4 linked regions of the Struthio camelus genome follow. The protein of the gene in region 1 interacts with the protein of each later gene in a biochemical or structural test. Links are inferred from orthologs where the notes say so. Each region holds a gene or a part of one and is shown in the gene's direction. Other genes may lie near its edges.

Region 1 (8,086 bases):
ACCGTTTGCGCTTGGTGGGATCCTGCCGCCGCTCTGCCGGGGCCGGTGTCTCATCAAAATGCCTTCATAAATGGAGCAAACGAGGGCTGGAGATGGCAGGGAAACAGTCAATTAACACGATCCAAGTCCTTTTAGGGGCAGAGTTAATCAAGCATTCAGCGTTTTGTCATTCTTGCCTTTCTTTCCTGGGAAAATCCTATTAGTCTAAAAATCACTTGATTGGGCACTTCAAAGAGCTGATGGGAAAACAGGCTTCGCTGGGATGTAAACGCCGTTCGGCCGAACACTGGCTTCTTTTAGGCTTTTGCTGGAGCGTGAGTGTTTCATTAAGAGCCTTCGCATTTCCCACTTAAAAGGAAAAAAGCTTGTTAGGAGAGATAATAATAATAAAGAAATCTTGGCGATTTTAATCCTGCTGAGGAGGTTTCTGCTGCCTGAACATTCATGGCTTGGCTTCGTGGCGTTGTCCTCGGCAGAGCCTCTTACCCCTCCGTCAAACGCGTCTCGAACCCTGCTCACCCAGCCGAGCCGTTTCACACCTCCTTTGCCTACTCTCGCAAGCGACGGCTGGTCGAGGGAGAAAAAAAGCCACCGGGGCTTCACGTGCTCGATGGGTGACCGGGCCATGCCACATCCGCAGGGTGCTGCCGGCCGCGTTTCGCAGGACCCACGTCCTTCCGGGCTGCAAACACCCGAGCGCTCGTCCCCCGCGGTCTGCGCCCGAGCGCGGAGAGCGGTAACTCAGGCCTTTGCAGAGCCTCCGTTTATCCTACCTGGAAAAATAACCCGGTGCTTCATCTCTAAAGACCCGGAGGAGGCTTCTCCGCCTGAACCGCTCCCGTTTCTTCCGCTGATACTAGTCGATGTAAGAGGAATACTGCGTTTCCCGACAAACCTTGCTTCCCCTATACCCTGGGGCCACCGAGTTTCAAACCCGACAGCGCGGCGGCCGATGGGGGAGGATTTGGGCTCGGCCGCTGGGCGTTTGCTCACCGCGTCCCCGGAGAGGCCGAAACCGGGTGTCGGGACGATCCGCTGGGACCCGCTCCCGGCACGGCGCGGGGCGCTGCGTCCCGGTGACTCACCCGGGAATCACTGCTTCGCATCCGTGCCCGGAGCGACTTCCCGGGCCCGGCGCGGGGCGGGAAGCAGCCGAGGGCGTCCCAGCCTGGACAGCCGTGGAAGACAGGCGCTTTGAGGACTGTGATTTTACTTTTCCTTTGGTTTCAGCCTTCGGAGCATGTTTACAGACAAATTATGAGGCCAGGGCACGCTCGCTTTTACCAACCAGCTGCGGGTACCCTGTGAGTCAGGGTTGGGGACGCCCTGGTAGGAGAGTGATGCTGGGACAGGAGAGCTGACACCGCTGCTGACTACAAGCGGACGGGGAGAAGGAAGCAGCCCAGCGCCGGTGCCGCTCTCCAGCCCGGCGCCTCGGCTGCTCCTCGTCCCCAGAAGGACTCAACACCATGAGTCACCTTGGGTTTTTTCTCCTTTCTGGCCCGCCTTCTATTAATCACCACTTTTCCCTCCCCCCCCCCTTTTTTTTTCTCTCGCTGTCACTACAGAGGTGACCGTGAACTCTCCGACCCGACGCCAGTCCTCTCCCCGCTTCCCGTTTCTGATCAGCCACCGTGCCGAGGTCTTTCAGACCCTCTCTGGGGCCCGGCTGCTCCTCAAGCCCAGCCGCCAACACGGGGCCGCCTCGAGCCAGGCCGGAGCGGCTCGGCGGCTGCTGCCCCTGCCAAAACCGGGGGCGGCGGGTGGCGGGAGAGCAGTCGGGTCCCTGTTAAAATCAAGGCTGGAAGAAACCTGCCATCTTGCGCTAAGTGGACCCTAAACCCTTCCCCATCCAGAAACGGTAGAGACAATTAGGGAGTCGCTTTTCTACGGGAAAACCTGCGTCCGCTTTTAGCTGCTGGCTGGCTTCGCCTTAGTGAGGGACGTATCTCCTGAAAAGCCGCGTAACTGGGGATTTCGCGCCGGCCGGACGCCTTGGTTGGTTCTCTCTCGCTGTTTTGCTGTTTCAATCCGGCCTCCCTCACTGCAGTTAGCGGCAGACTGGGCAAACAAGCCCGCTCTTTCGCCTGCCGCTCTCGGGCGCTCATTGAAAAAGCGGCTGGTTTTGACAGTCCCGTTCCCTTTTGCTGATTTGCGGCATTTTTCTGCAAAAAGAGCTCATTTAAGGAATTCATATCCTTTCGGTGGATGCTTCTTCATCTGCGGTCCCTGCGAGCAGCTGGAGGCGGAGGTACCGCGTGGGGGATGCACCCCGCGCTGCTGCTGCTGCTGCTGCAACCGTGTCGGTGCTTCTCCTTCGGTGCCGATTGCGTCTTTATCAAATCTAGGGGGAGCGAACCAACACACTGCAGCTCATATGGCATTTTGCGAGCAAATGATATGCTAATGTATTACGAAGCATGAAACCTCTCCGCAGTGCAGGTCTACAAGCAAAAACCGTTCTCACGTGAACACAGCAGCAGCGGCTGCCCGTAAAGGCAAGGCTGTTCCAGCTCCCCCGCTGCTCTTGCTGCGTGCCACGGACAGAGAGACACGGGCTGGATTTGTTGTGCTTGTTTTTAGAATGAATTTAAATGCATGAGCGCATGAGTTACAAAAGCCGAGCCCGGCGGGATCTGAGAGCGTGCTGGACAGCGGACACCAGCTCCGAGCTCTTCCGAGCAGGCTCCAGCCCCTGCCACGTTAAACACTGCAGTAAACCCCGCAGCGAAATCTAGGGGAGCATTTAGGTCTAGCTTTGCCAGGCTTGGCTTTTTTCTGCCATGCACAGCATCGTTTTGGGTTGCTTTCGCGTTCCCCGGAGGCTCGCAGCTGTCCTGCGGGGTGAAGGGACGCTCTCTGCCCGTCCCACCGTGCCCGCTCGGTGCAGGGAGCCGCGCGGGGCCGGAGCCGCCGCCAGCCCGCGGGGTCTGCGCCGGCCTTGCCCGGCACGGCCAAGCAGGGACTGCGCCGGGGAGCCGCTTCGCGGGACAGTCTCCAGCTGAACATGCCCAAACATATTCTCGACTTGTCCGGACCGATGGGGAAGCTGCTGGTGCAGCCGGGAAACGGGCCGGTGTTTTGCATGCTGAGGGTCTCGCTTCCAGGAGGGCGCAGCACCCAGCACCCACCCGCTCCGGGGGGCTTCGAGGGTGCCTGCCGCCCTGGAAGAACAACTGCAAGTGAGCACTTTAACTTGGGTGGTTTTGGTCACTTGAAAACACGCAGCTTTTTGTACCTCGAAAGAGACAAACCCACCCAGCTTTATTTGCCCCCTTGTTGCCCACATCGTGGTTTCAGAGGTGCTTTCCACCTGGGCTGTTTACTCCACGCTAAGAGGAAGCTGCAGAATACGACACCCCCCGCCCCCAGCACCGCCGGCGTCGAGGGCATCAGCTCTCCCACTTCGGGGCACAAACAGCCCCGCCGACCCCTCTCCTACACCACGCACCGACCGCCGTGCAGCCAGACGGACGCACGGCACGGGTGCCCTCCGGCTTTGCAACCTGCCTGGCCCCCGGACAGGGTCTGGCAGCGCCTGGCGGCCGGGGAGCATCACCCAGGCTGGGCAGCCTGGGGGACAGAGTCGTCCCCTCGGTTAATTCATCACCCCCCCCCCCCAGCCCCATTTAAATCCTCCACATTACAGCGACTCAGCAGGCAGGAAAACCAGTTGCCTGGGAAAGGCCTGGCTGGGACGTGGAGTCCCCCCCCGCCCCCCACCCCCAGCTGCAGCTTTGCTGTCTGAAGGTGAAGGACCGGACTTAGAGGGGGAGGGTGACCCCTGCATCCCTTTTTGGAGGGGGGTCCCTGCATCCCTTGTCCAGGATGTCCCCCAACTGGGGGGTCCCCGCATCCCCGAACTGGGAGGGACCCTGCATCCCCAGACTGGGAGAGTCCCGGATCCCTGGACCAGGGGGTCCCTGCATCCCTGGACTGGGAGGGTCCCGGATCCCCGGACCGGAGGGTCCCCGCATCCCCGGACTGGGGGGGGGGTCCCTGCATCCCTGGACTGGGAGGGTCCCTGCATCCCCAGACTGGGAGGGTCCTGGATCCCCGGACCGGGGGGTCCCTGCATCCCCAGACTGGGGGGGTCCCGGATCCCCGGACCGGGGGGTCCCTGCATCCCTGGACTGGGAGGGTCCCGGATCCCCGGACTGGAGGGTCCCTGCATCCCCGGACTGGGAGGGTCCCCACATCCCTGGACTGGGAGGGTCCCGGATCCCCAGACCGGGGGGTCCCTGCATCCCCGGACTGGGAGGGGGTCCCTGCATCCCTGGACTGGGAGGGTCCCTGCATCCCCAGACTGGGAGGGTCCTGGATCCCCGGACCGGGGGGTCCCTGCATCCCCAGACTGGGGGGGTCCCGGATCCCCGGACCGGGGGGTCCCTGCATCCCTGGACTGGGAGGGTCCCGGATCCCCGGACTGGAGGGTCCCTGCATCCCCGGACTGGGAGGGTCCCCGCATCCCTGGACTGGGAGGGTCCCGGATCCCCAGACCGGGGGGTCCCTGCATCCCCGGACTGGGAGGGTCCCCGCATCCCTGGACTGGGAGGGTCCCGGATCCCCAGACCGGGGGGTCCCTGCATCCCCGGACTGGGAGGGTCCCCGCATCCCTGGACTGGGAGGGTCCTGGATCCCCAGACCGGGGGGTCCCTGCATCCCCGGACTGGGAGGGTCCCCGCATCCCTGGACTGGGAGGGTCCCGGATCCCCAGACCGGGGGGTCCCCGCATCCCTGGACTGGGAGGGTCCCGGATCCCCAGACCGGGGGGTCCCTGCATCCCCGGACTGGGAGGGTCCCGGATCCCCGGACCGGGGGTCCCTGCATCCCCAGCCTGGGGGGGGGGTCCCCCCCGTCGCCGGAACAGGGGGTCCCCACATCCTCGGACTGGGGGGGGGTCCTTGCCCCGTGGGGGCTCGCCGGGACGAGGGAGCCCCGAGCCGGGAGCGCCGCTGCCCCGCAGGGCCGGGCCGGGCCGGGGCGGGGCGGGGCGGGAGGGAAATCCCGGGTGAGCGAGCGGCGAGGCCCCGCCCCGGCCCGGTATAAAGCGGGGCGAGACGCGCCGGGCACCGGCAGACGCGACGGGACGGGACGGCGAGGTGAGTGCGGCCGGTATCGCCGCCGTCACCGGCAGCCGGAGCGGGGGGGGGAGCCCCGACAGGCAGACGGGGAGGGCGGTGGCGGCGGCCCCGCGCCGGTGGCCCCGGCAGCTCCCCGCTGGAGGGGGCGGCCGCGCCGCTGACTCAGGGCCGGTTGCATCAGAGCGGCGCCGGGCTCGGAGGGGGCGGCCGGGGGGCGACGGCCCCGCGCAGCCGCCCCGTCCCCTGCCCGCCGCGGGGCTGCCCCGGGACCGGGGCGCCTTGGCCGGGCGGCGCTCGCCCCCCGGCGGGCAGCGGGGCGCACTGCGGGGCCGGGGCTCGGCTCGGCCCGGAGCATCGCCCCGTCGGTGCCCGCTGCCTCGGAGCGGCGAAAATAACCGGGCTGCTGCCGTTGGGAGGGGGGAACGGGAGGTTTCCAGTTTAAGCTGTTATCTGGAGACGTGCGTGTTCCGCCGGACTAAGGCGACCTCGCTCCAAAATAGCCCTCCTTGCTGGAGAGCCCCAAGGACTCACCAGTGTCGTGAGTGGGGCATCCTCTGCACTCTGCCCCTCTTGCAGGGCAGAGGCAGCTGGCTCAGGCTGGCCCACCTGCAGCGAGCTCCAGCAGCCCTGTGCTGGGGTGCTCCTGGCCTCTCCTGTCCCCTGTGTTTCCCACAAACTGGTGTAACTGGTGGAGGGTAGGTCCTGGTGTTGCACAGGTGGCTGTGGTGAGCAGTGCTGCTGGGGGGGGGTGTGTGTGTGTACATCTCGACTCCCCAAACAGTGCCTTGATCTCCCAGCTCCAGCTGGGTGAGGTTTTCTTAATGCAACCATGAACCTGCATCACCTGTTTGCCCCAGTGTCAGGGTTCTCCAGCTGGAAGCTCTCGTTTTTTGAGACGACGGTGAGACCGAGTCAGCCCCGTGGGAGGGGAAGGTCACGTCTGCCCCGTCCTTCCGGATTTGGTGGCTCCAGCACCGATTCCGTGCTCTGAGTCAGGGTGACGCTGCTGCCACAAGGTGCAGGGGCTGGCGGGCGTCTGGCTCGATGTCGAAATGCGTTCCCTGACTGCTACCTGCCGGGGCTTGCTGGGACATGCTGGGACTTGCCTGGCGATGAGGTCACCCGCGGAGCCGGCTCCGAGATAGGAAGCTGAATTGCTATTTATACTCGGGGATGCTCGGCCCTGGGTTGAGGCAGGGCTGGATCAACGCGAGCGGAGGGTTGGGGCAGCCTCGGGAAGCACATGGGGCTGGAGGCTCCCCAGGGGTCTACTGACTGCCCGTGGTGGTGTGTGTGGAGCAGGAGATGCCAGCTGCTTCAAAAGGGGCTAAGCACTGGATTTGGGCAGTTTTCCATGCTGGGTTGGCACTGGCTGACGCTGCTGGGGGTTGAATACTCCAAACTTGGGGAAGTGGGGTGAGTGTGAGCCTGGGGGTCTGCAGCAGTCCCAGCTTTGGAGCTCCCTAATCGGGTAGAAGAAGACCGAGGACTCTGTCATGCATGCAGGGAGTGGGTTGCTTTCTGTGAATCTGTTAATGAGATTTAATGAATACTGCTAACCAAAAGAGGATCAAGTCCTAGCTTGGAAAACCATCGAATCCCAGCCAGGGTTATATTTGCCTTGCTCAGATAAGAGGCTCCTGGTGCAACTGTGGGCTGTGGAAGGGATCCCATGCCTGTGTGAGGAGGGGGACTGCTTGGATGGAGGGCTCTCTGCTACTTAACCATAAAGGTCAAGGCTCTTGGCATCGATCTGAAACAGTCTTGTCCCTGGTTACCCAACAGCTTCTTGCAGATGACAAGGATGGTTAGCAAAGTGGCTGAGCCTGTGGTGTATTCTTGCTGCTTGCTCAAAGGGCTTCCGTGCCACCGTGCCTGGGTTCTCAAGATTAAGAAATGGGCAGAAAAACATCCTATTGCTTCACTTGCCCGTGTGCAAGCTTGCCCTGTGCCCATGTTGGGGTGGGAACCCAGTGGGGTTTTGGCTCCAAGCCAGTGCCGAGAGCACAACTGGCTGCATTGATGTGTCAGAAGCTCTGGTAGCTCTTGGACCTGGTGGAAGAGGAACAGTAAACTTCAGTATTTGCCCCTTCCCCATCCTCCTGAGCTGCACCCAGGTTGTATCTGACCTCAGTTGTGCTCAAGTCTTTCCCTCTGCCCAAGACACCCCTGAAATCCTGAATGCCTGAGTCCCAGGCCAGGTCTGGCAGCCAGAGGCAGGGAGGTTTCCACTCTGTTAGCTTTGCTGTGGGGCCAAGCCTTGCCCAGCCTGGCTACTGCACGTTTTGCTCTGGCAGCAAACACGCTGGCCCTCCTGCTTGCTTGCAGCTTGCGCAACACCCCTGTAACCAGTGCTGCTTTCCTCCCTGCAGCTGCCACGATGCCTCTGTCGCAGAGCAGGGCTGGCCAGCAGATGCCCTGCAGCAGCAAGGTGTGCAGGAACCTCTTTGGCCCTGTGGACCACCACCAGCTCCAAAATGACTTCCAGGACCTGTTGAGGCAACAGCTGGAAGAAGCCCAGCACCGCTGGAACTTTGACTTTGAGACAGACACACCCTTGGAAGGATGCTTCAAGTGGGAGAGGGTTGTCTTTGCTGACCAGCAGCTGCACAGCCCATCCAAGGCCAACAGCAGTGGGAGTTGGAGCTGCTCCTCAGCCCACAAGGTACCCTCCAAGGACCGTCTTGGCCAGGCCTGCTCTGAGGTGCCTCAGCAGGGCTCTGAGGCTTGCACGGCTGGTTCCCCACAGCGCTTGAAACGCAGGCAGACCACCATCAAAGGTGAGTGCTGGAGGCTTAGTGTCCCTCTGTGCTGGCAGTGGCATCTCCCCATGGTGAGATGGTGTCATGACCACCATGGTTGGTGCCCTGACTCCCGTGGCAGGGGGAGATGGAGGGGACTTGGGTGTCTGGATGTGGAGAGCCCTGGCTGGCTTCTGGGCATGGAGAGGTGGGGAGGGATCCCTCTGCCTGGCTGCAAACTGGGTCCTTGGGGATAGCAGG
Region 2 (6,909 bases), on another chromosome or scaffold:
ACTATAGCAGGGGATGAGAAGAGTCCACTACAACTGCCCCCATCAGAGATAGCTGCAGTGGGAAGCGATCACGGGCAACTTTTACAACAGGGCTGCCACCAGCAAAGCAACATACACGCACGCTCTCGGGCAGGAACCTCACTCCAGACAGTTTGATAACAAAGTTAGCACAGCCTGGTACACTGGTGACTTTGGTAAAACACCTTCGTCCCAGCTGCTGCTGCATTAAATCAGGACAGCTCTGTGACTATTACAGGCTTCACACGATGGTCAAGAAAGGTATTTCTTACAATTAATAACACAAGCTGTAATGCCTGTGACTCACGGGAAAATTACAACGTGGCTTAACATGAGCCAAACTAGACACCAAGGGAATCACTTCTTACACCAGAAAGATGCATGAAGAGCTTTAGCTGTCGGGAAACACCAGCCATGCTCCAGAGTTACACTGCTGCACTACTTACATCTGGAAAGATCCTCAGTCCCTGGGCTGACACTGCCCACGTACCAACCAGCCTAACGGTGCACCAACCGTCCACCTGTCTGTCCATGCAGAGCCACCTTAGACTGTCCCCTCTGCATCTGCAGGAGCGACCTGCCTCTAGTGATGTGGTATCCAACAGCTGGGAGTAAGCATTAGTTGCATTCAAGATCTAATGTTGTACCAAACACACATAAGCAGACACAGCACTGGTCTGAACAGCGGTAGAGCGTGAAGCAGGGCATGTGCTGTGCTGGCCAGCGCTAACGAGACAGGGAGCCAAGCCATCCTGCCTTGCAGGGAACCCACCCCTTTCTGCAGCTGGCACCACAGCCCAAACGGACCTTGAACGACCGCACAAACAGATGGACGAACGACCTGAAAGGAAAGGATTTGTTTCCCCTCAAAGTCTTCAGAGGTTGTTTGAAACCACTTCTGTCTCCTCTCCACTCCTACAGAGGATGGCACTCAGCTGAAACATGGCCTGAGCTTCCCCTTCACTCAGCAGCGATACGCCAGCACGTGGAGTGGACGTATCCAGGCTTGCCGTGAACAAGCTAGCGTGGGTATTGCTAACAGCGTGTCTGCAGCATCCGTGGCCTCAACCTGGACTAGCCCCACAGTCTTGACCCGGGCCCCCCACTGCTCTCCAGGCTGCCTTCCCTGTTGATAGCGCTCGCCTCACCAGCTCCAGTGTGTCTGCAGGCAGGCAGAGCTCTGGCTTCAGAAAAAATACACTTATGAGCAACAGGTTTTTCCAGCCCCAAAAGCTAGAGGTACCTGTAACTACTGCAGCACAAGCAACGTAACACATCTTGCTGAAAAGTAGAGAAGTCGCTCATTTTGATGTGCCTTTTGCCTCTGGCTGCCTGGGGCAGACCATCCGTCCTGTAGCTCTGACGTAAGAGTTTGAGACGAGAGCTCCTGAAGCTGTCGCTGAAGCTTGTGGTATTTCTCAATATGCCATGTCACCTTTCCTTACCAGCAAGGCTGGAAGTGAAACTACAGTGTTTACTATAAACAAAGCACGTATTTTAAGGCTCTGTTGCCTTATTTACCTCCCCTGGGTCCAACACTGATAACCACCAGAGTGTCCCAAATACTATAAGAAGCAGCAGTATGTCCTATAAGGCAGATGTCTGGGGGTACAGACATTTTCAGGGCAGGAACCTGGCTTTCACTCAGAATCTCTGGTGAAAAGGTCTCATCAAGCTTCTGACTTTTTTTATGAAGGAAAAGCAGGAGGTAATTCAAAAACAACAAAAGACGTCACAACACATACAGATCAGAAAACATGTCCCAAGATACAATGCAGACGTGAAACTTGGAGCTTGTTTTAAAAAAAAAAAAAAAAACTGGAGGAAGACTCCCAAGTTCCTGGAAGGATGATAACATGCACAGGACATTAACCTCAGCACTTGCGTACCCAGAATCTCAGACTGTCTCCAAGGCTGTAGGTTAGGTCACATTGTGCAACTCAGGACAGACGCTATCTGCAGTACGCAGTTCCCGCCCGCCTTCCTCAATTTACTCTTGGCACTTTTTAAATGCAGCTACAGCTATACTACTGTACACTGTAAAAACCTCTTTTAATGACATTAAGCCAAGTGACCACTTTATCACATTCTTATTGAAAACCACAAGTCAAAATATTGCTTTCACTCTTGCCAATGCTAAAGACTGTACTAGATATTTCGCAATGTGTTGTGCTTAGGTTTTAAAGAGCTAGTGAGGTTATTTCCTGAGTGCCTTGGCTTTCATTGAAACAGGAATAATAAGGATGCAATCTTTATGCTTGAAGGAAAAAAAGAAAACTTCATCTTAATTGTGAATTTGTGAATTTGAAGCCAGCCTTGTGATCTGTGCAGGCCTAATGCGTGACAGGATCCAAATACTCTTAAAATGCTCTGGTACAGAAAGACATGCAGTTTTCCTAGACAAATCCTGTTTTCCCTCACTGAATAGAAAGCCAGAGCAAGATTCGTGACTTCTGTAGTAAGTGCGTACCTGATCACAACTTAAACGTTACGTGGCAGTATTCCCATGACTTCTGTCTGAGGGTACAGACCATGCTCGAAGCTGTTGTCTCCCAGTTATCACTGTAAATCAGGGATGTCTGGAACGCTGACTCACAACGGAAATGGTGGAAAATGAAGTACCTGCGCTGAAGTAGGAGCAGGCAAACACTGTGTCACTTGGAGCTTGGCTGGCCACGAGCCAAAGACCTTGGGCTTGGCCTATCCTAGGGGAAAAAAAAAAGAAAATTAATGTGGGGACGTTAAGATGATGTGTTCACTCTGAATAGGTGTTGCCCATTGTATGACACAAGAGCTAAGGCGCCACTGCTTCTCCGACACACGGCTCGGCTCTCCTCCTGAGAAACCACACAGCAAAAGCAGGTGAGCAAATTCAGCTAAGTAAGCTCTCCTCTCAGAGAAAGTGCAAGTTCAGACACATCCGTGGGGGCATACCTTTATACTTTAGCTTTTCAAGTTTTTAGAAACGGGGCCGTGTTCCCCCGAGCACGTGGCTAATGGCCAAACCAGCCCTGACAAGCTCTACCTTTGGACACTCCCTCCCCATCTTCGTCTCGGTACAAAGTTTTCTCATTTCTGCTGCGTGAATCAGCATTTCCTACATCAATCATTTGCTTTAACAAATGGGACCTTTAGGAGGAGACTCGGTCCTGAGAAGAGGGCGAGCGAAGAGATGCATTTTGGTGCGTTACGAAGAACGCTTTAGGGCGATTTACCGGCTGTGCGCTTCGTAGCTGAGCTCTGAATAAAACAAGTCGGAGCTATTGCTTTACCCCTGCTCACCGCTCTTTACTCGGGAAAGCAGGTTTTGGAAGCGGTGGGCGGCGCATGCAGAGGCGCATGCAGAGACGCTCTGGCCAAGCACTCTTACTGCAGAGGGGGCGCCAGCCGCTGCAGGAGGGGAGGCGCAGTCGACGTGCTCTCCCTGGCTAAGCCACGGTTAGTCACACGCGCCACGCGGGGAGAGGCACCGCGCAAGGCCCGGCGCCTCATGAAAGCCTGGTGCCTTGAGCGCCACGCGAGGCCAGGCACCCCCTGAGACTGGGTGTCACGTGAGGCCGGGTGCCACACGAAGCCGGGTGCCGCAGTCACCACGCGAGGCCGGGTGCTGCAGTCACCACACGAGGCCGGGTGTCGCGGTCACCACACGACAGCGGGTGTCGCGGTCACCACATGAGGCCGGGTGCCGCGGTCACCACACGAGGCCGGGTGTTGCGGTCACCACACGAGGCTGGGTGCCGCGGTCAACACACGAGGCCGGGTGTCGCGGTCAACACATGAGGCCGGGTGTCACGGTCACCACACGACAGCGGGTGTCGCAGTCACCACACGAGGCCGGGTGCTGCGGTCACCACACGACAGCGGGTGCCGCGGTCACCACACGACACCAGTGTCGCGGTCACCACACGACAGCCGGGTGTCGCGGTCACCACACGACACCAGTGTTGCGGTCACCACACGAGGCCGGTGCTGCGGTCACCACACGAGGCCGGGTGTCGCGGTCACCACACGAGGCCGGGTGTCACGGTCACCACACGACAGCGGGTGTCGCAGTCACCACACGAGGCCGGGTGCCGCGGTCACCACACGACACCAGTGTCGCAGTCACCACACGAGGCCGGGTGTCGCGGTCACCACACGACAGCGGGTGTCGCGGTCACCACACGACACCAGTGTTGCGGTCACCACACGAGGCCGGTGCTGCGGTCACCACACGAGGCCGGGTGTCGCAGTCACCACACGAGGCCGGGTGCCGCGGTCACCACACGAGGCCGGGTGCTGCGGTCACCACATGACAGCGGGTGCCGCAGTCACCACACGACAGCGGGTGCCGCAGTCACCACACGACAGCGGGTGTCGCGGTCACCACACGAGGCCGGGTGCCGCGGTCAACACACGAGGCCGGGTGCCGCGGTCACCACACGGCCCGCCCGCGCCACCCGCCGCAGCCGGCAGCAGCCGCCGCGCGCAGCAACAGGCTCAGGCTGCCGGCGCGCGGCCGGGCGCGGCGGGGCGGGGCGGGGCGAGGCGAGGCGGTGGGGGGCGGGGCGGAGCTCATTTGCATGGTCCAATTAGAAGGCGCTCATGCAAATGTGACCGGCGCGGATTGGCCGGGCGCCGGCAGGGTCCAGCGCGCGGGGCGCCGGGCGGTGCAGTCGGCGGCGGGACGCGGAGCGGGTGGGACGCGCTCGCCATGACGCTGGAGGAGCTGCCGGGGGACCGCGGCGCCGCCGGCAGGTAGGGCCGGCCGGGAGGGCGGCGGGGGCCGGAGACCGGCGACCGGTCCGGTCCGGTCCGGTCCTGAGCGCGGCTGTGTCGGCAGGATGGAGGCGGTGGGCGACGCGCTGGAGGAGGTCCTCAGCAAGGCGCTGAGCCAGCGGAGCATCACTATCGGCGTCTACGAAGCGGCCAAGCTGCTCAACGTGTGAGTGCGGCCGGGCCGGGGCGGGGGGAGGCGGAGGCGGCAGCGGCGGTGTCTGAGGCGACGGCGTTTCCCCCGTCCCGCAGGGCAGCCGACAGCGTGGTGCTGTGCCTGCTGGCGGCCGACGAGGAGGACGGCCGCGACGTGGCCCTGCAGATCCACTTCACGCTGCTCCAGGCCTTCTGCTGCGAGAACGACATCAACATCCTCCGCGTCAGCAACCCGGCGCGCCTGGCGCAGCTGCTGCGCGCCGCCGGGCCGCCCGCCGACCTCCACTGCGTCCTGGTCACGGTGAGCAGCCCCCCCCGTCCCACCCCCGGGCCTTCCTCCGCTGCCCCTCGCTGGCCCCGCAAGGCAGCGGCGCTGGGTGTTGCCGTGAGGGTCGCCAGGTAAAGCGGGAGCGTTAGGGGGTGCAGGCCCCCCCTCCCCCGAGCCCTTGCTCAGGGTGCAGGGGCTGGGGGCGTCCTGTGGGCGGATCGGGAGAAGCTGCCTGTGAAGGGCTCGGGAAGTTGTTTGTCATCTGAGTGTGAGCTCAAGGATGCACGGCAGGCTTTGTGCATGCTTTTCTCCTTGTTTTTCTAATTCAAGATAAGTGAAGTCTTGGATTCTCTGCTTTGTGTCTTCGTGGGGGTCGTTTTTCTTAAAGCAGCCCCGTTTCTCCCTTTTTTTTCCAGCACCCCCATGCCTCCCAGTGGAAGGACCCGGCGCTGAGTCAGCTGATGTGCTTCTGCCGGGAGAGTCGCTACATGGATCAGTGGGTCCCTGTGATTAACCTTCCCGAGCGGTGATAGCAGCCGGATGGAAACTCGCTGAACACAATTGCACTGAAGTTTTGAAATGCTTTAGCAGTTGCTCAGGAAGTAACTCCCTACCCTGACACAAGGATTACAGGAGGAAAAAAAATAAATAAATAAAACTGAAGTCAAGTGGGGTAGACTGAAGTCAATCTACATGTTGTGTGGGACTGAAGAAAAGTGACTCCGCAGCTGGCAAGCGATGGGAATGAACACGGAAGCGAAGCTGAACGAGCAGCCTTTGTGCTGCTAAAGGAATTAAAGCCTGCCGGAAAAGCTGAGACACTGTATGGCTGAGTTACTTAAAACACCCAACACCCTTAATGGTTTTTTAAAGTGCAACTTAGAGTTTCTGGTTTAAGTACCTTAAACATGAAAGAGCAAAAAGGTTAATCAAAACACTTTTACACACAATTTTATTGTATTTTGGGATGTTAATTCTCAAGTTTATATTCTAAGATATATAATAAGTTATTTTATGATATTGATGGAAAACTTATTTATGCTACAAGCTTTCAGAACCAGAGTACCCTTAAGCAGTTGGTCTACAACCATACCACTTCTTTTAAAGACAGCTACATTAATATAATTGTTTGAAATTGAATAGTGGTGTTTTTTTTTTTTTAAATAAAAAATTTAACCTCAACTCCTTTGTACTAAGTCTTACTTTCTTGCATTCAGTAGTGTGCCCTCAAAAAGGCTCAGCTGGTGACTGGGGGCCCTTGTCAGGGACAAGAGTGCTGCATATTCAGAGCTTGTGCAGGACCTAAAATGGCACGTAGGCTTTATTCCTGGCCCCTCCTACAATCGTAAAACTAAAAAGTAGCTGATGTTTTGCAGGTACTGCTACTTTTTTTTTCTTGACCACTGGCACTTACAGCACAGTTTTAAATAAATAAAATTAACTTTAGAGGCTGCAGCACTAGTAGAGGGCCTGAATCCTAGTGAGAGTTGGGGAAACCTGACCTGTTTCAGTAGCAAAACTTTTCTTAACGTCTCCTCTTGAGAAAAGCTGTTAACCTGGTTGGCTGACCAGTATTACACCATATCCCCAATGCAAACCCTTCTGCCCTTTCCTGAATTTGATCTTTGTGTTGCTCCTGCTTATGCGTCAAAGCAGGGGAGGAAGGAATGCTGGCTTGGGAGGGTGCAATGATTGCAATCAGTGTGGGCATC
Region 3 (7,920 bases), on another chromosome or scaffold:
TATCCGTACTCAAAGCACATACTGCAGCAGCAAAAGGAGAAAGAGCTAGGAAAGATCTACAAGAGGGCAGAGACAGGTTCTAACCATCCCTTTAATACTAGCTTTTCCAGGGCCATAGAGGAAGCAGCCTCGCCTAGACAGGTATTGATCTGACTTCTCCATCTTCCTAGAAATCGTAATAGTCTTCAATGAGACAGTAATTACTGAGAGAAGCTCTAAGGAGTCCATGCAGGGAGGCTTCAGTTGCCTCTCTCTCACACACACACAGGGAAGCTCAGAGGTAAATGATTAATGACCCAAAGCTTGATTTGATCTGTTGCTACAATTAAGTAATGGCTGGCAAAGCTTACTGGCCTCCCTCAGGTGCTAGTCCATACTGGGCTATCTCAAAGAGTTCCTGAGAAACTGGAGCTTGGATAACCTCGTTATAAGCTATTTGAGAGGTGTTTCAGTTCCATTAATGTATTATATGACTACTGAAGATGTCCATATGCTATTTGTATGTGAAACAAAAAATTGTTGGATAGATGACATTCTTTGGTTATGCCTAAATGGCATATGAATATGATGGGTATTTGGATATAAAGGACATTCATTGATTTAAGACAAATTTAGTACATAAATTCCATTCCTGTATTTGGCTATGAGTGACTTTTGTGATCTTTGTATGAATGCAAGTTATGTGTTAGATCTGTAACTATAAAGTTCATATATTTTTTGTGATAAATACCATAAAGAGACACTGAGCTGTTAGGAAAATAGGTCTGGGCAGAGCAGAGGTAAGATTACTTTGATAAGCTACAGGAATTGTTCACAACAGCAGCATTTACCTTTCCTGGAAATAAGCACTAGCATAATGTTTCATCTATCTCAATATCATACCCAGATGCTTTTACTGAAAAAGAAAAACAGCTCTGGCACCACCAGAGGAAAATCCCTTGAAAGAACAACTAATATTTTCAAAATGGATTAAGGATGAGATAAATTTTTCAAAATTATGAAAAATTAAAAAGCACTTAAAATTATTCATGCATAGAAGGCTAGGTCTAAAGAGGTTTAGGAGTTTAAGTCTGCTAAGGCTAAAGGGAAGGAAGCTATGTTTACACGGACACTTAGTCCAGCATAATCTGAGCTGGGGGCTGATGGGAATGGCATCACCCCCACTACTACCCTGATGCTGGCACTGCACGTTTGTAATGTCCTTTGTGCTGGCCCTACAATTCACGTAGCTGTCTAGAAACCTAGAGCAGATAACTGATTCACTTGGAAAAAATATTTTGCTATTGTTGTTGTTGTGCTTGTTTTCAGGTGGATCAGGTCCTTGGTTTGTCTCATGACCACCCAAATGCTAGTGTTGGCACAAGGATGGCTGCAGCCTTGGGTGGCTTGAAGCCAGGCAATCCTTGTCAGTGACAGGCCAGACTATGCTGACATTACTTTGGGGATGCAAATGTTTTTAGGGATCTGAGCCCAAGAACTATCATCTCACTCATGTTCTGAGGCAGTTAATTTCCTAAGTCATTCCCTTATGTTTTGCATTTTAACATTTTACTCTTGGACATACAATTTCTATTCTTTTCAAAAAAGATTTTGAAACTATTAACCAGCACCTATTTAAGGTCGGAGGAGTAGTGCTCCCTACTTAAAATATACTTAGAGGCTGATATTGGAGTCTTGATACTCATGAAGTAAAATAATGTTGCTAAACTGTGATTTGAGGTCACTGAAAATTTTCACTTTGATGGAAAAATCCCATTCTCTCTTCCTTTATCACTAAAAAGTATGGCCTTTTTTCATGGATAAAATATGTAGATTTCAAAAGCCCTTTGTTTAGACATGTTAATAAAAATTGAAATTTTTAGTTAAAACATGGAATGTCCATACATCTAGCAAAGTTTTTGATTAACATCCATCTTCTCAGACTGCTATAGATTATATACATTTTCTACATAGGATTATTTTTAGAGTTTTGCATAATCCCATCAAAACAATGGGATAAGGAGTGTTTAGAGTTGCACTCGAGGCTACGTTTAATTTCAAAGACTGTGAGCTAGACCGATTTTTTTCTGAAATTAAAACTTTGCATGAAATTGTTTCAAGACGTATCCCTGAGTGAAGTCTTGCTTATTGTGCAGTTCTGGAAAACACTTTTTATCTAGGGGTTTGAGATGACATGAAAGACAGAGAAGGACACAGGATCCAGGAAGCGTACATTGTAACCTGCTGTACCCATGACCTGCATTCACCCCCCGCCCTGCAAACTGTGACAGCTCTGTTTTAATACCTGCTTATAACCGTACTGTCGCAAGGACATGGAACTCTTCCCATGGAAAAGGAAAAGTAATGGTATATGGCCAGTACATCAAACAGGTAACGTTTTTCAACTTGAGATATACCGCTTACTTCCTCTCATTAAAAAAAAAAAAGGTAAAAAACAAAATGACTGAGGTCGAACCTTGCGCTTGTCTTTTTTTGAGCAGCATCCTACTTTTCCAGAACATTTTCCAGTATGTCAAGATCATTTTGAAATCTAGTCTTGTTTCACAGCATAGTCGCAGCCTTTCACGCGTGATCATGCATCAGCATGATGCTATGCTATCCACGAATTTAGTAAGGGTGCTCTCATTTCATTATCCCAATCACTGGTGGAAATCTTTGATGACACTGGACAACTCCAGATGTCAATTCACTTTATAAAACTCTGCATGCCCTTAGTGAACTGCTGAGAACTTCTCTATGTACAGCTTTGCAACCAGTTTTGTAATTGCCTCCTTGCTGAGATTTGTTTATGAAAGTGTCGTGAGAGTAAAATCTTGACAAAAATCAACTAAAATCTCCTTTTTCCAGTTTTTCCTTCATCACTGAGGGAATTCAAAATGTTTTGATCTGATTTGTTGCCAGCAAGCTGATGCTGTCATTTGTACAACTTTTTGTTATATTCTAGGTGTTTATAAATACTCAATAGTTGCTAATAACTAATTATTAGTTCTCACACTTTTCTGGGATTTCGAGTTAATCTGGCTTGAATCTTGACTCCCTATTTTTCCTCTTTCAAGATGGGCATCCCTTTACCTTTCTATTGTAACTTGCCCGTCCTGCCAGAGCTCTCAAAGAGAACTAGCAGTTCTCCAAGTTTTCATCACCAAGTTCTTCAATAGCATCAGGAGAAAATTACCAGGTCCAGCTGGTTCCTTCCTGCCTGTTCCTTCCTTATTTAAAGACAAATTTTTTTGGTCCTTTCTGTTGCTGGCATAATACTAGTCTCCTGGTCACTAGTAATCTTCTTGGTGAAAACGAATGTCAAAAGAAATTAAATACTTTAGCTTTCTTGATGTCTTCTGTGAATAAATTGCTCTTTTTGTTGAATAGCATACCAATCCTTCCTTAGTCTTTCTCTTGTTACCAGTGTAACCGTCAGTTTCTTCATGTTATTCTCCATGTCTCCTGCTAGCTTTGCCTTGCTCTATCTTTGCTCTTTTCTTATGATTTTGACCCTATAAACTGTTTTAATCCCACTACTGTGGTCATCCTGGTCTACCTTCCACTTCCCATATATTCCCTCTTGCTTTTGAGATCAATGAAAATCTCTCTTATTGCAAACCTTTCTTCACCCTGGGAGAATTTGTATGTGTACACCTACTATTTTACTCTTTAACTGCTTTTTCTTTTTTTTTAATTTTTAGATCAGCCTCGCTTTGCCCTACATACTGAACATTGACACTTGCAGGCACAGGAATACTAGGGGAAAAATTAGAATCCGACACCTGATTTCAGCTAGTTCTTGGCAATTTCTGACCCTGGCCACCAATTGTACAGCTCAGCGGAGTAGCTCTTTTTCACTTTTGAAAGAATTAGACTCTTATATATAACGACTCTCTGTTTCTGGAAAACATAGCTGATATCTGAAGCCTATCAGAGCTTAAAATGAGACTCTCCTATTTTCGGCCGGGCAGGCCGCTGCTGGAGTTGGCTGCGTGGGATTGCTTGGACTGAAGTGAAAATCTCCGGGCGGAGGTGGTGCGCCTCTGCTCCGCTTGGGTTTGTGCGAGGCTTTTCGGGGCCCTGCTCTTGCTGACACAGAGGTGGGGCGAGGTCCCTCGGGGTTTGCTCCCGAAACATGAGGGTGCCCGGCTCACCCTAGCATGCCAACGCTAGAAAGGCCTGGAGGTGAATTTCGGATGCAGCAAAACCTAGCGCGAACTTTCGGCGCGTGCCCCCACGCCCAGGCAGGCCTGCTGAGCCCTCCTTTTTCCGGAGACGAAGCCGCCTGCTGGTTTTGGCATATCCGCCATCCAGGCGGCCTTCAACGCCGCGGCCGGCTTCCGTCGGTCTCCTCCCAACCGCTCCCGGTATCTCCATCAAACGCCGCTAAGCTACGGTCCTCTCTTCGCTTCCGCCGGGCTCCTGCCTGCGCCAAAATCCGATGACACCGGCGGCGGGGCCAAGGCCGCCTCGGCCGGTGCCCCGAGCCGAGGGCAGCAGCGCGGCCGGGGCGGTTTGCGGCACCCGCCGGGCCGGGCCCCGGGCCGGCGTCTCCATGGCGACCCGCCGCCGCCGCTACCGCCGCCGCCGCCGCCGCCGCGTGGGTTGCCAGGGCCGCGGCGGCCGGGGGTTGCCGGCCCCGGCGTCCAACTGGCCGCAGCCAACAGCCGCCGCCGGCGCCCATTGGCCGCGGCCTATATAGGGGGCGGCGGGGCGGCAGCGCAGCGCAGCGGGCCGGCTCCACTCTCCAGCAGCGCTCCCTGAGCACCGAGGCGGCGGCGCCGCAACCAACAACTACTCGTCGCCTGTTTGCCGCTGTTGTCTCCCGCGGGGGCGATGCGCCGCAGCGGGGAGAAGAGCCGTGCGGGGCGGCCGGAGCCCCGCGCCGCCGGCGGGCGGGCCGTGCTGGGGGAGCTGGCGGAGAACGGGCAGCAGCAGCGGCGGCGGCGGCGGCCCGGCGGCCAGGTGAGCCCCCAGCAGCGGCGGGGGGGGGCGCGCAGGTAGCGGGGCTGGAGGGAGGCGGCCGCTGCGGTAACCGCCCCCGCCGGCGTGGCCCTGGGAGCGCTCCGGGCGGAAGCGCCTCCTGCAAGGTGAGACTCGGGGAGGCTTTGCCTTAGCACTGCCCCCGCCCCACGAAGGGTAGGGGGTGGCGAAGTTTAGGTGCCTGTTTGCTGGTGACCCAAAGGTCCCGTTGCTCCGCGGCTGGCCGTGATTCCTGGTGGGTGCCAGAGTACCCACCAGAAAGCTAAAGCTTGCAGAAGAGTGAGTGTCCTGGACCTTTCAAGCCCTCCTGAAATCAGATGCTGTGGCAGAAGCGTTGTGCTGGCTTGCTGGAGCTGAGGTAGCAGTTGGTGCCTATACAAGGGCTTTTTGCAGCTGTGACTGTGTAAAGCCCCTAACTCAGTTGATGGCTTATTACAAGTGAGTGATATTAAGCACTGCCTGCTGGTCACACATTGTAGTCCCTGGGTGTTGAGGTGTTGGAGTCCTGAGGTGCAAACTGTGGTTTGTAACTCAATATGAAGTGCCTCCTTTTATGGGAAGTCTTTCATGAGTTTGTGGTAGCTTCTGAAAACTTCCATGTGATATTTTAGCTTGCTATGCCTTGAAATAAGCACTGCTTGCAAAAACTGCAGACAGAGCAGAGCCCATACCTGCCACTGCTTGTTTCTGATGGGGCTGGCCTCAGCTGGCTTGCCTTTGCAGGCAGTGGTGAAGAGGCTATTCAGGACTCGCCTGGCTCTTACCTTTCAGTATACCTCGCTTTGCCTGTGAAGTGTCTACTATAGCAAGACAGTAACAAGCAAGATTTCTGAACTGCTGTTTGTAGCTCTGTGTTTATGGGGAGGTTTTTAATTTCTTTTGTTTTTTTCTCTTCTTGGTTAACTTCTAGAGTTTTGGTATCTGTGTTAGCCAAAGAAAGCAACTCCTCTTCCTCTCTAAAATAAGCTATAATTACTGTCATCTTCTGAACTGCCCTCTTGTAGCATTACTGTGTACTCTGTTCCAGGGTACTATGGTTATCAGACATTTCTCTGGCTCTGAAAACTGCTTCCCTCCAGCTGGAAAAGATGAATTGCCTAGCTGCATGGTCGATGCCACATCAAAGCAAGGGTTTACTATATATATAGATGAACCAGAACAGAAGGAAAACTACAACTGCCCAGTGGTTGAAGAGCTGGACTCTAGCCTGTGTGAACTGGATACTAGTGCAATGACATCCAATATTCACCTACTGTTGGATCTGAGTACAGGTAACTGTTCTGGCTACTAACCGAGTAGTATAGCAGAGATCCACATAGGGTAGCTATGAATTGTGGTGTTAGCACAAGCTAGTGATTAGCTTATCTTGAAATAAATAGCACTTCAAGATAACTGTGATCAACAATGCATCTGCTGTGTTGGAAATGACAAGAGTAAGGTGAGGAGGCTAATCAAATGTGTTGCTGGCTCCTCTAACCTGTTAGGGTCTCCTATGATAGTGGATACATCCTTCCAATCCCAACCTGAGGATCAGATGGGAGATGCAATAACTATAATGACTGTGGGAGAATATGCAGAAGACATTCATCAGTACCTCCGAGAAGCTGAAGTGAGTGATTTGTTACAAGTTTATAATTCTAAGGTATTTGTGGACTCTGTGATGAGCTGCAAAGCTTATTGCTGCCCCAAGATGACCCTAGCCTGCTACTGAGTTACAAAAGTGGAGAAAGCAGGTAGCAAAAACAGTCTTTAGAAGCTGCCTATGAATCTGGCTTCAGACAGTGATGAGATTTTGCAAATATTACTTTGCTTCCTGGAAATACTCATTGTTACAGCATCTTTTGACTCTTAAAGACAAATTTCCAGAAATAGTTCTTGCAGATGGGAATCAAATGCTGCAAAAAAACTAAAGCAGTTGGATGTGACCTCACTGACAGCTCTCCTGTTATCAGAGAGCTTTACCTTGCCACTTTGATGCAGAAGGGTAAGGAAAAGAACAACCTTCCAATAAGGAAGAAACCTGATTTGTTTAAAGTTACTTTCAGGTCCCTTTTTCTGAATGGCTTTTATGGCCTTGATGGCAAAGGCTGAACTTCAGTGTCCAAGAGGTCTTTTGCTATTCTGCTACTAACAGATTACTCCTGTCTCTTGTTAGCATGCAACTTAGTAGAGGTGCTATTATTTAATACGACTACAAGTAATAGCTAGTTAATACTAACTAGCTATCAATTGTTGAACTACTTCTGCTACTTTTGGCTTACTGGTGTAAGTGTGAAATACCTTAAACTCAGCCATCAATGGTCATCTTCAGATGAATGTCCTAATTCTTCACCTGTCTTTCTGAGCAGATAAGATACAGGCCAAAGCCATACTATATGAGGAAACAACCAGATATCACAACAGGAATGCGTGCCATCTTGGTAGATTGGCTTGTGGAAGTAGGGGAAGAATACAAACTTCGCACGGAGACGTTGTACTTGGCAGTGAACTTCCTGGACAGGTTTCTTTCCTGCATGTCTGTCCTCAGAGGGAAGCTGCAGCTTGTAGGAACTGCAGCAATTCTTTTGGCTGCGTAAGTGTTTGTATCATCTCCTGAAAACTTAGAAGGCTGTAACTTATTTTTTAATTTGAACTAACTTACCTGCAGTAATAGGTAGCTTGTCATGATGTCTTAAGATTAGCCATTTGACCAGCTCTGGCACTAACAAAATTCAATGTCTAATGTTCCTACCTTCACATCAAGGAAACTTTTTTCCATAAAGCTGGAAGCAAAAAAATGGGCGTGGGGAGGAAAACTACTGTAAGTTGCAGACTCACAGCTATATAGCTGTAGTTGCAGACTACAGCTATAAGGCTGTAGTAGATTAAGTGGCAATCTGCACTTAGACTTGAACTCATCTTTTTAAGAGACAGGATACTGAACAGAGCCTGGGAGTGTGTTGTATTACTAGGACT
Region 4 (7,864 bases), about 1.7 Mb from region 1:
ACAGACAATTGGTCCAAGCTGTACCAAGAGTCCCTCTAAATAATCATATTTTTGCGTTAATAGGAAAGCTGTGTTTTGACCTTTGAAGCAGCACGCTTTCTTCTTCAGAAGGCTCATATGTATCATAACTGGATACATCTAAGCGTTGCTGAGATCCAGTGTTCAGATGATATCACTCTGAACTAATTAATTGTATTCAAAAGTCTGCCCAAGTCAGAGGAAAGGGAATGCTGTGGTTGCCAGTAATAGGAAAGCTATTAGGAAACACATCCCCTGGGTCAAATCCTCCAATGCTGAACTTGCAGTCAACCAAACTTCCCTTCAAGTCAGTGGAAGTACTTTTCTAAGTAAAGAATGAATAAGATATGAAGAAGGAGAGCGAGCCAGCAATGGAGGGAGACAGTTGTCTTGTGTTTAAACATGGGAGCAGGACCAGGAAATCCTGGACTCCCCTGTCCACTGAACCAGGGAATGACTGAATGAGTCTGGGAAGATGACTTAACTCCTTGTGCCTGTGGCCTCTGATTCATGGGCAACTAAAGCAGATGTCTGCGACGGGCTGACGTGCTGTCTCCCTGCAGCCATCTGCCCTGCTGCTGCAGTGCAGCAGATGAGGGTGTATGCTCCACAGCCTGACCTGCTAATACCAGCCTGTCTTTATCAGCAGTTTATGTGTGTATGGCCGACCGTAAGCTGAGCCACCTCCTTCTAAAGGGGCAAGGACTTCTGGCAATCGCAGACAGCGACACCAAACTGCCACCGCATGATTTGCTGCCCTTGTACGCCAGAGCCCTTATTCTTTCCTGCTGGGAATGGTTGCAATATCCCTCCACTTTAGGGGAAACTGGATGTGAAATCTAACAGATTAAGATTTGTGAAGTACTTTGAAATCCTAAAATAGCAAGGGTGAAGTACTGCCTTCGCTCTTTCTCTCACATGCACAAAATGGTACCTGTTTTTCATTTTATTTTGGGGATTTCCTGCAGCAAATTATGTAGTTATTTGCTCATTGGATTTGGTTTTCAGGTCCTTGATGTATGTTAAGCAGTTTCATTTTGATGTCACTGATGATGCTGTAGTTGCAGTATGACCAAGGAAGAAGATGGCTTAGCTCATGGTAGATCAAAATCGGATGAAACACAGCTATAAAATATATGAAATCAGAAAGCAGCGTAGAGAAGATACTGATCCTTTGTTGACATCCTCTAGGGCCAGGCCCACTGCTGATGCAAAGTGACATTGCCAGCTGAAACCCTTCTTCAGAGAAGAGCTTACAGAAATGGCCCTGTTGAATAACCAGCCTGATAAATGGCTTTAACCTTGATCCAAGCCTAAGTGTGATACCAGCTGACCATCAGCTGAGAATCAGACCTGCATCTACAGTGCTCCTTTAAAAGCTCCAGCTGCTGGTGACTCTCTTTAATTCATTATCATCATACCAAAAAAATGAGCCCCTTTATGATTCAGCAAAGAATAACATTGCTGGTCTGAGATCCTGGAAGCCTAGAAACCATCAGTTTTTTTTATTTTTACTCTGAAGGAATTTCCTTTTTTAATATTGCTGTGCTGTCTACTGCCAAAGCCAGGAAGTTGACTATCTATGGACAACAGTGACCAAAATTTGGTTTTCCTGGAATTTTCTCTTTTCCCTCCGCACACCCACACAATAGGCTTTTCAGGATGCCTGCAGTCTGTAATTTGCCTTTCTAGCCTGATAATGTGGCTTGCAGAAGCACCAGTTTTGCCAAGTCATCATCTGGAAGGAACACTTTCTTATGCAACAGGCTTCATCTTCCCCCCTCCGTGTCCTATGGCCCATGGTTGCCACCAAGGCCGGCTTCAGCCGAACCACCGTGCCAACACTGGGAAATGGGAGAAAGACCATGAAGTCTGGAATAGGGCCTGAAACTTTCAATTTCAAAAGGCACAGCCCAGAAAACAGAGGGATCAAGAACCCAGCGCTGTGGTTTCCCTTTGCCTGATTAAAGAAAATAGCTGCTGTCTATTTTTACTATAAATGTGGGACATGAGGTCCTTTGCTTTCCTTGTACAAAAGGGGGGATGCTGCTCACAATGAAAGAGTGAAGGAGTGGAGCACAAGAGGTCATCCCAGATTAAAACCAGCTGCCTGGTCCACAGAAATCTCTTCCATAGATTCTTCAATTTTTTTCTTTCAAGACAGGGACAGGATTGATCTCTTCCTTTTCCTATAGGTCATTATCACCATGCTGTCTGGTATTCCCAGTGCATTCACCACAACAAATCAATGATGATGCTATCATTAAGAATACGTAGCTAGAACATGTCTCCCCAGCCAATATTCTAGCTGATTAAAGAAAGACCAGGAGAGGGAAAGACATCTAACGGGCAATGAACTATATACCTTGCAGAAAATGAAAGCCATCTGTACAAGCGTAGAAAGAGGATTCTAGTGTGTGAAATCTACTGAGTGTGTTATATATGTGACCTTTGCGTCCACTGCCATGAGTAGTATTTTGAACTTCTAAACCTCTGATCAAAAAGATTTTTTCGTTTGCAAAAAAACACCACCTGAACACAGAGAACAAAGACTTCAGTCTTGTTTTGCTTGATTATTAACTATGTATGTTTGTTCTTGATTAAAAGACTGTGTTTTTAGATGACTGAAAATACTAAAAAGTACCAAACGTGTCGAAATGGCATACACAGAAGTAACTTATATGGCAGATGACTCAGTCGCTAACTCCTTTGGGTCTTTGTTCCTTAACTCAAAATGGATATACGTGTATATACTGAGGAGTACTCCAGCAGAACTCATCAGAGATGTTCCAGTTGCGTCCCCTTTATATGACACTGCATCCCCAAAGTCCTCAATTTCTACAAATTCCTCAATTTTTACAAATTCCATTTCTCCATTCCGTTCTGAACATGAATATTCTCCCCTACGATTCCAGACGGGGATTGCTGCTATGAGTTGAATTTCGGCTTATCTCAGTCTGAGTCCCTTTATCATTCCGCAGTACACCCAGAATGGTCTTTGCCCAGTAACACGGCACTATTAAATGGAATATACTGCCCTGAGCAAAGGAGTGTTACAGGAGTGTATGTACTACTGAGATGCTTCATTTCAGATGATAAGGCAGTCAAAACTTGCAGGGAATAATGGAAAGCAGCAGAGTGAGAGAAGTAGATAATCTAGAAGGTATTTCTCACCTTGAACATTTATGATTGTAATTAATCATTTGCTTCCACTGCTGCTGCAATTGCCATAGTACAGCACCATCCCAGTGACGGATGGTCAGAGGGTTATATGGGCCAGTCACCTCATTCAGACACATTCCTTTTCACAACCTGTATGAACTTTCGTAAAAACAGACCTCCTGAGCTAAAGTTTCCTAGTATGTTTTCAATTCAATGGGGAATTTTTAAATGTGCAAACTTGAAGGCGATCCATTATCCTGGTCTTCCAATTATAGAATCTGTTGTACATTTTATAGACTGTTTTCTGGCTCTTCCTGGTCTTCTGCTGATAAAAAGCAACTGTAAGTCTTCACATCTGACACACAAGCAATCCAGAAAGTAGGAGTGATTCCATGCTCTGCTTGGAAAATAAAATATTTTGAAAAGAAGACATTAGGAAGTTTGGGGGCATGTAAGAAGTACCCTCAAGGATATTCAAAGGAGACAAGTCTGACTGAACTGAGTTGCCTAGGAAAGTCAGAACATCCCAATTTCTGTAGCCAGTAACACAAGAGAGAGCCATGCGGCCGGAATTATATTCAGTTGCCTCTAATCTCCATACCCAAAAGCAATTAGAGCAAGTAGACGTGGGCTCAGGTACCAGTCCAGAGCAAATCCTAAGCATGTACTTCTGGACCTGCAGGGAGCCACCTCAGTCCCACTGGCACCACTCTCCTTACCTGGCATCACAGAGCCAATTCTTAGTTATCGTGTCCATTAGAGCAGTACCTAGCGTTCCCATTTGAGATGCCTACTATGCTGTGGAAGTCACAGTACAAAGTTATTTGAAAGTCTGTGTTTTCCCTGAAAAATAGGAAGCGTAAACAGCTGCTCAGTACACAATTTGAAAAGGCTAGTATTTCCAAACTATTGTTAATTATTTGAAAAAGCAGCAATGCCTGACAACCCTTATCTCTGCAGACACTGAGGTTGCTATCTTCTGTGGAGCCGCACCAGTGACAGCACGAGGGTAACTTCTGGAAGCAAGCAGGCTCAGTAGGGACCTGCTTGGGGTATGCACACAGCAGATTATGTTCATAGCCTTGAAGGATTCTGGACATAAAACAAAACAAAACAAACTATAGAACTAAATAATGAAGTTGTAAAGAAGAGGTAGATGAAGATGGAAACCTTCCAGTCAGTTCCAGGACTGTCCCGTTCGGACGGGGTGGCCGTGCCCTGGGCACACAGCTGGCTCTTCTGACAGCTCGGCACCGCCTTAGGCACATGGGAGCGCCCTGAGAATAAAGGGGGTGAAAGAAGGGGTCGATGGGGGATTGCTGAGAGACGGGGCGATACCGGGGGGGGGCGGCCGGAGCCAGCCCCCCCGCGCCGCTTCCTCCACCATGGCAGCGCCCCCCCCCCCCGGCCGCCCCCACGTGCTGGCGGCGCGCCGGCGCGCCGGCTCGGGGGCGGGGCGGCCGCCCGCGTCCGGCAAGGGCGCTCCAGGGCGGCGCGCGGATTGGCGGGAGGCGGCGCGGGCCCCGCCCCCTCGGAGCGCGGCGCTGCAGTGCGGGCGGCGGGTCCCGCCCCTTCGGAGCGCGGCGACTTCCCGGCGCCCCGCAGCCGCGCAGCCGAGCCGGCGGGCGGGCTGGCTGGCTGGCTCCGCGCTGCCCGCCGCCTCGCCTCCGGCCCCGCTCCCCCGCCCCCGCCGCGGGCTCCGGGCCCATGGAGCTGCTCTGCGTGGAAGGGATCCCCCGTGTGCCCAGGGCCGAGCGGGACCCGCAGCTCCTGGGGGACCGGCGGGTGCTGCAGAACCTGCTGAGCCAGGAGGAGCGTTACAGTCCCCACGCTTCCTACTTCCACTGCGTGCAGAAGGAGATCAAGCCCCACATGCGGAAGATGCTGGCTTTTTGGATGCTCGAGGTACGGCACCCTCCCCCCCCACCCCAGCCGGGTCCCGGCTTCTTTCTCCTCTCCCGCCTCAAAATCTAGCTCTGTGTCCGGCCACCGGCTCTTTTTCTTGCCCTTTCGTCCCTGCTGCTAGTGTGAGCTATGCTGCTCCGGCAGGAGAGAGCTGGTGGCGGCGTGCTGTAAAGGAAGGGAGGGGTGACCGTCCCACGTTCACTTGGGGGGGAGGGAGCTTTCAGTGGGGTTACTTCATACAGGGGGCAAGGGACAATCCAGGGAAGAGGTCTTGGCGGCAGGAGAGCCTCTGGGATGCGTGTGTGCCGGAGGTCAGGGCTGTGGGATTTGGGGGGGGGGGGTCCTGGAGGTGGCTGCGGGGAGGCAATCTGCAGTGGGGTCTTGCTGATGCGAGGGTTGGTTGGGCCAGAAGATGTGATTCCCCCTGTGGGAGGAGCAGCCCCCCTTTAGCCCAGCAGCCTGTGTTCACCCCCCCTCCCCCCCCCAGCAATGTGCTGCCACACCATTGTTGGCTCCTCTGTTCCCACCCTGCTCTCCAAAATTTCTGGCTAGAGCGCTCTGCTGTGCACCAGAGAGTCCAGAGACTTGAGTTTCCTGAATGGGGCTGGGAGCGCTTGCTTAAAGGGGGAAAATAACATCGCTACCATTTACTTCCCTAAGTTAAAAATGAATGCAGCTCTCTGTGGGAAACAGCCCAGTGGGGGAAATCTCATGGGCCTCTTTCTGAAACGGTCAGGGTGAGCGGTCTCAATAGAAAAAAGAAATAACAGATCCTGCAGAGGACAAATGATGTTCCAATTGAGCCTGGCTCCTGCTCTCCACCCCAGCAGCTGTCGCAAGCTGCCTGATCTGTCAAAAGAAGTAATAGAGCAACTTGCTTTTTTTAAAGGTTTTTCCCTCTTATCGTTGGTCTCTTTCTGCAGTTCGCTTTCTGAGGAGGTTAGTTAGATAAGTGTTGCTTTAGAGCCTGTTCCTTGTGAAGCTCTAAAGGCAGTCTAAAAGTGAATGATACTAAGCAGTTGTCATGATTGGGCACAAAGCAAAATTGGAGGCTTGTGCTATTTAGTCGCAGCTCTGGGGCCGTATGTTTGACCCGTTAAAATCAGGCCAAATTCACCTTGAACTGTAAGACACTAGAACTTGCACCTGAAATTGACTTGTCTTTCTCTTTAAAAACTGTGGAAGAAAGGAAAATGCACAAAACAACTGCCTTGCCCTGAGGGGTTTGTTCTCTTTTTAGAAAAAGTCTCTGTCCTAGGGTTTACAGCAGTCTGTGTAAGGGAAAGGCAGAGTAACTGTTTGAAAGAGAATGGTGCTGTTTGCTGCTGTATGAGGAGAAACTCCAATATTTTTATGGTTGCATTGAAAGAAGGAAGTAAATATGACCAGGGCTTTGATACTGGTTGAGAGATTAGAACAGGGGACTGAAATGGAGAACTCCTGGATTCTGTTTATGGCTGTGGTACAGGTGTGGTTGAGAAAGAGGAGGGGGAAGAAAGACTTCTGGGCTCAGCCACGGACTCTGCCATTGATTCTTCTTGTGTCTCTGGGCCACTTGAGGTGGAATTGTCAGAAGTGACTATGGCTCCTGCATGATTAGGTCTCCAGCTGGAGACATGCTGGAAATGATAATTTTCCTTAGAGGTCCTGAGTGCCCACAGAGCAGAAAATGCACAGCTTTGCTGGTTGTCTACCTGTAGACATCCCCAACAGGGGAAAATAAAAACAGGGGCAAGTAAAAGCAATTTTGGTCTTAGCTTGTCTGTGTGTTCTAACTGCATACCACTCTTGCAGCTTTCCACAGGAAAACAAAGTCTTAAGACACTGGTCAAATTTTCTTCTAGTGTAATTCTGTTCAAGTCTAAGATTTGCACCTGCAGCTGGTTTACACCTTAGCATGGAGGTGATACATCAAAGCCCTTCAGAAATGTGTGAAACACCATCATGACCAGAAGCTTTGAAGTTGTGGTGCAGGCAGGATCCGGGGCGCCGATTAAAACTTCCTCTTTTGTTATTGGATTTTGTCAGGTGTGTGAGGAGCAGAAGTGCGAAGAAGAGGTCTTCCCCTTGGCCATGAATTATGTGGATCGCTACCTGTCTTCAGTGCCCATGCGAAAAAGTCACTTGCAGCTTCTGGGAGCTGTCTGCATGCTCCTGGCTTCCAAGCTGCGTGAGACCATGCCCCTGACAGTGGAGAAACTCTGCATTTACACAGACAACTCCATCACACCTCAGCAGCTCCTGGTAACCACCCCTGTCTCAGAGCCCTCCGTCCCCTCCCCAGCTCTTATCTTCTACATGCTGCTACTTGGCAACGTACCTGTGTTTGTATCTCCTCTGTTTCCTTTCTCTTGTTTCTCCAAACGCCTTCCACCATGTTCCCCAACCAACCTTGCTTCCTTCCCGGTGGATGTTGCTGCCTGTCATTGGAGACCACCTCATCCTGCGCAGGCCCTCGCTCCCTGGGCTGGGAAGCAGCAGCGTCGCCTCCAAGTTAGCGAGAGAGTTCCCTGCGCCTTTTAAGTGCCCGTTCCCAGCACGGAGCTGCCACGCTGGGCTCGCTCCCATGCGCTGGTTCGCTCTCGAGTGACAGCTCAGGAGAACAAAGGCCCCTGTCTGCACAGCCGGCCGAGCACGCGGCAGGGGGCTGGGGCTGCCGGCCAGCGCCTCTGCCTTGCCCCCGCTGCCGAGGACTCTGTTTCTAGGCATGACGTGGGAGTTGCGTTTCCACATCAGCAGGAAAACGAAGCATTAAGTGGAGAGTAACCAGCAAAATGGG

The links.
Region 2: the proteins of CDKN1A (region 1) and GADD45A form a complex in vitro, tested with the Homo sapiens proteins (3 studies listed by BioGRID). The link is inferred for Struthio camelus from reciprocal best matches to the Homo sapiens genes CDKN1A and GADD45A.
Region 3: the proteins of CDKN1A (region 1) and CCNA1 form a complex in vitro, tested with the Homo sapiens proteins (2 studies listed by BioGRID and IntAct, with this or other methods). The link is inferred for Struthio camelus from reciprocal best matches to the Homo sapiens genes CDKN1A and CCNA1.
Region 4: the proteins of CDKN1A (region 1) and CCND3 form a complex in vitro, tested with the Homo sapiens proteins (2 studies listed by BioGRID and IntAct, with this or other methods). The link is inferred for Struthio camelus from reciprocal best matches to the Homo sapiens genes CDKN1A and CCND3.

The regions. Positions count from the first base shown.
Region 1 is NC_090965.1:4,719,855-4,727,940, forward strand, and holds the start of CDKN1A (cyclin-dependent kinase inhibitor 1), read left to right. Parts: upstream 1-5,038; 5' UTR 5,039-5,102; intron 5,103-6,251; exon of another isoform or gene 6,252-6,500; intron 6,501-7,456; 5' UTR 7,457-7,464; coding exon 7,465-7,864; intron 7,865-8,086. UniProt on the Homo sapiens protein: Plays an important role in controlling cell cycle progression and DNA damage-induced G2 arrest. Involved in p53/TP53 mediated inhibition of cellular proliferation in response to DNA damage.
Region 2 is NC_090949.1:37,060,526-37,067,434, forward strand, and holds GADD45A (growth arrest and DNA damage-inducible protein GADD45 alpha), read left to right. Parts: upstream 1-4,618; 5' UTR 4,619-4,711; coding exon 4,712-4,755; intron 4,756-4,840; coding exon 4,841-4,942; intron 4,943-5,025; coding exon 5,026-5,230; intron 5,231-5,613; coding exon 5,614-5,727; 3' UTR 5,728-6,379; downstream 6,380-6,909. UniProt on the Homo sapiens protein: In T-cells, functions as a regulator of p38 MAPKs by inhibiting p88 phosphorylation and activity.
Region 3 is NC_090942.1:196,579,261-196,587,180, reverse strand, and holds the start of CCNA1 (cyclin-A1), read left to right. Parts: upstream 1-4,708; 5' UTR 4,709-4,818; coding exon 4,819-4,947; intron 4,948-5,040; exon of another isoform or gene 5,041-5,403; intron 5,404-5,992; coding exon 5,993-6,236; intron 6,237-6,449; coding exon 6,450-6,574; intron 6,575-7,313; coding exon 7,314-7,537; intron 7,538-7,920. UniProt on the Homo sapiens protein: May be involved in the control of the cell cycle at the G1/S (start) and G2/M (mitosis) transitions. May primarily function in the control of the germline meiotic cell cycle and additionally in the control of mitotic cell cycle in some somatic cells.
Region 4 is NC_090965.1:6,406,172-6,414,035, reverse strand, and holds the start of CCND3 (G1/S-specific cyclin-D3), read left to right. Parts: upstream 1-4,768; 5' UTR 4,769-4,887; coding exon 4,888-5,085; intron 5,086-7,113; coding exon 7,114-7,329; intron 7,330-7,864. UniProt on the Homo sapiens protein: Regulatory component of the cyclin D3-CDK4 (DC) complex that phosphorylates and inhibits members of the retinoblastoma (RB) protein family including RB1 and regulates the cell-cycle during G(1)/S transition.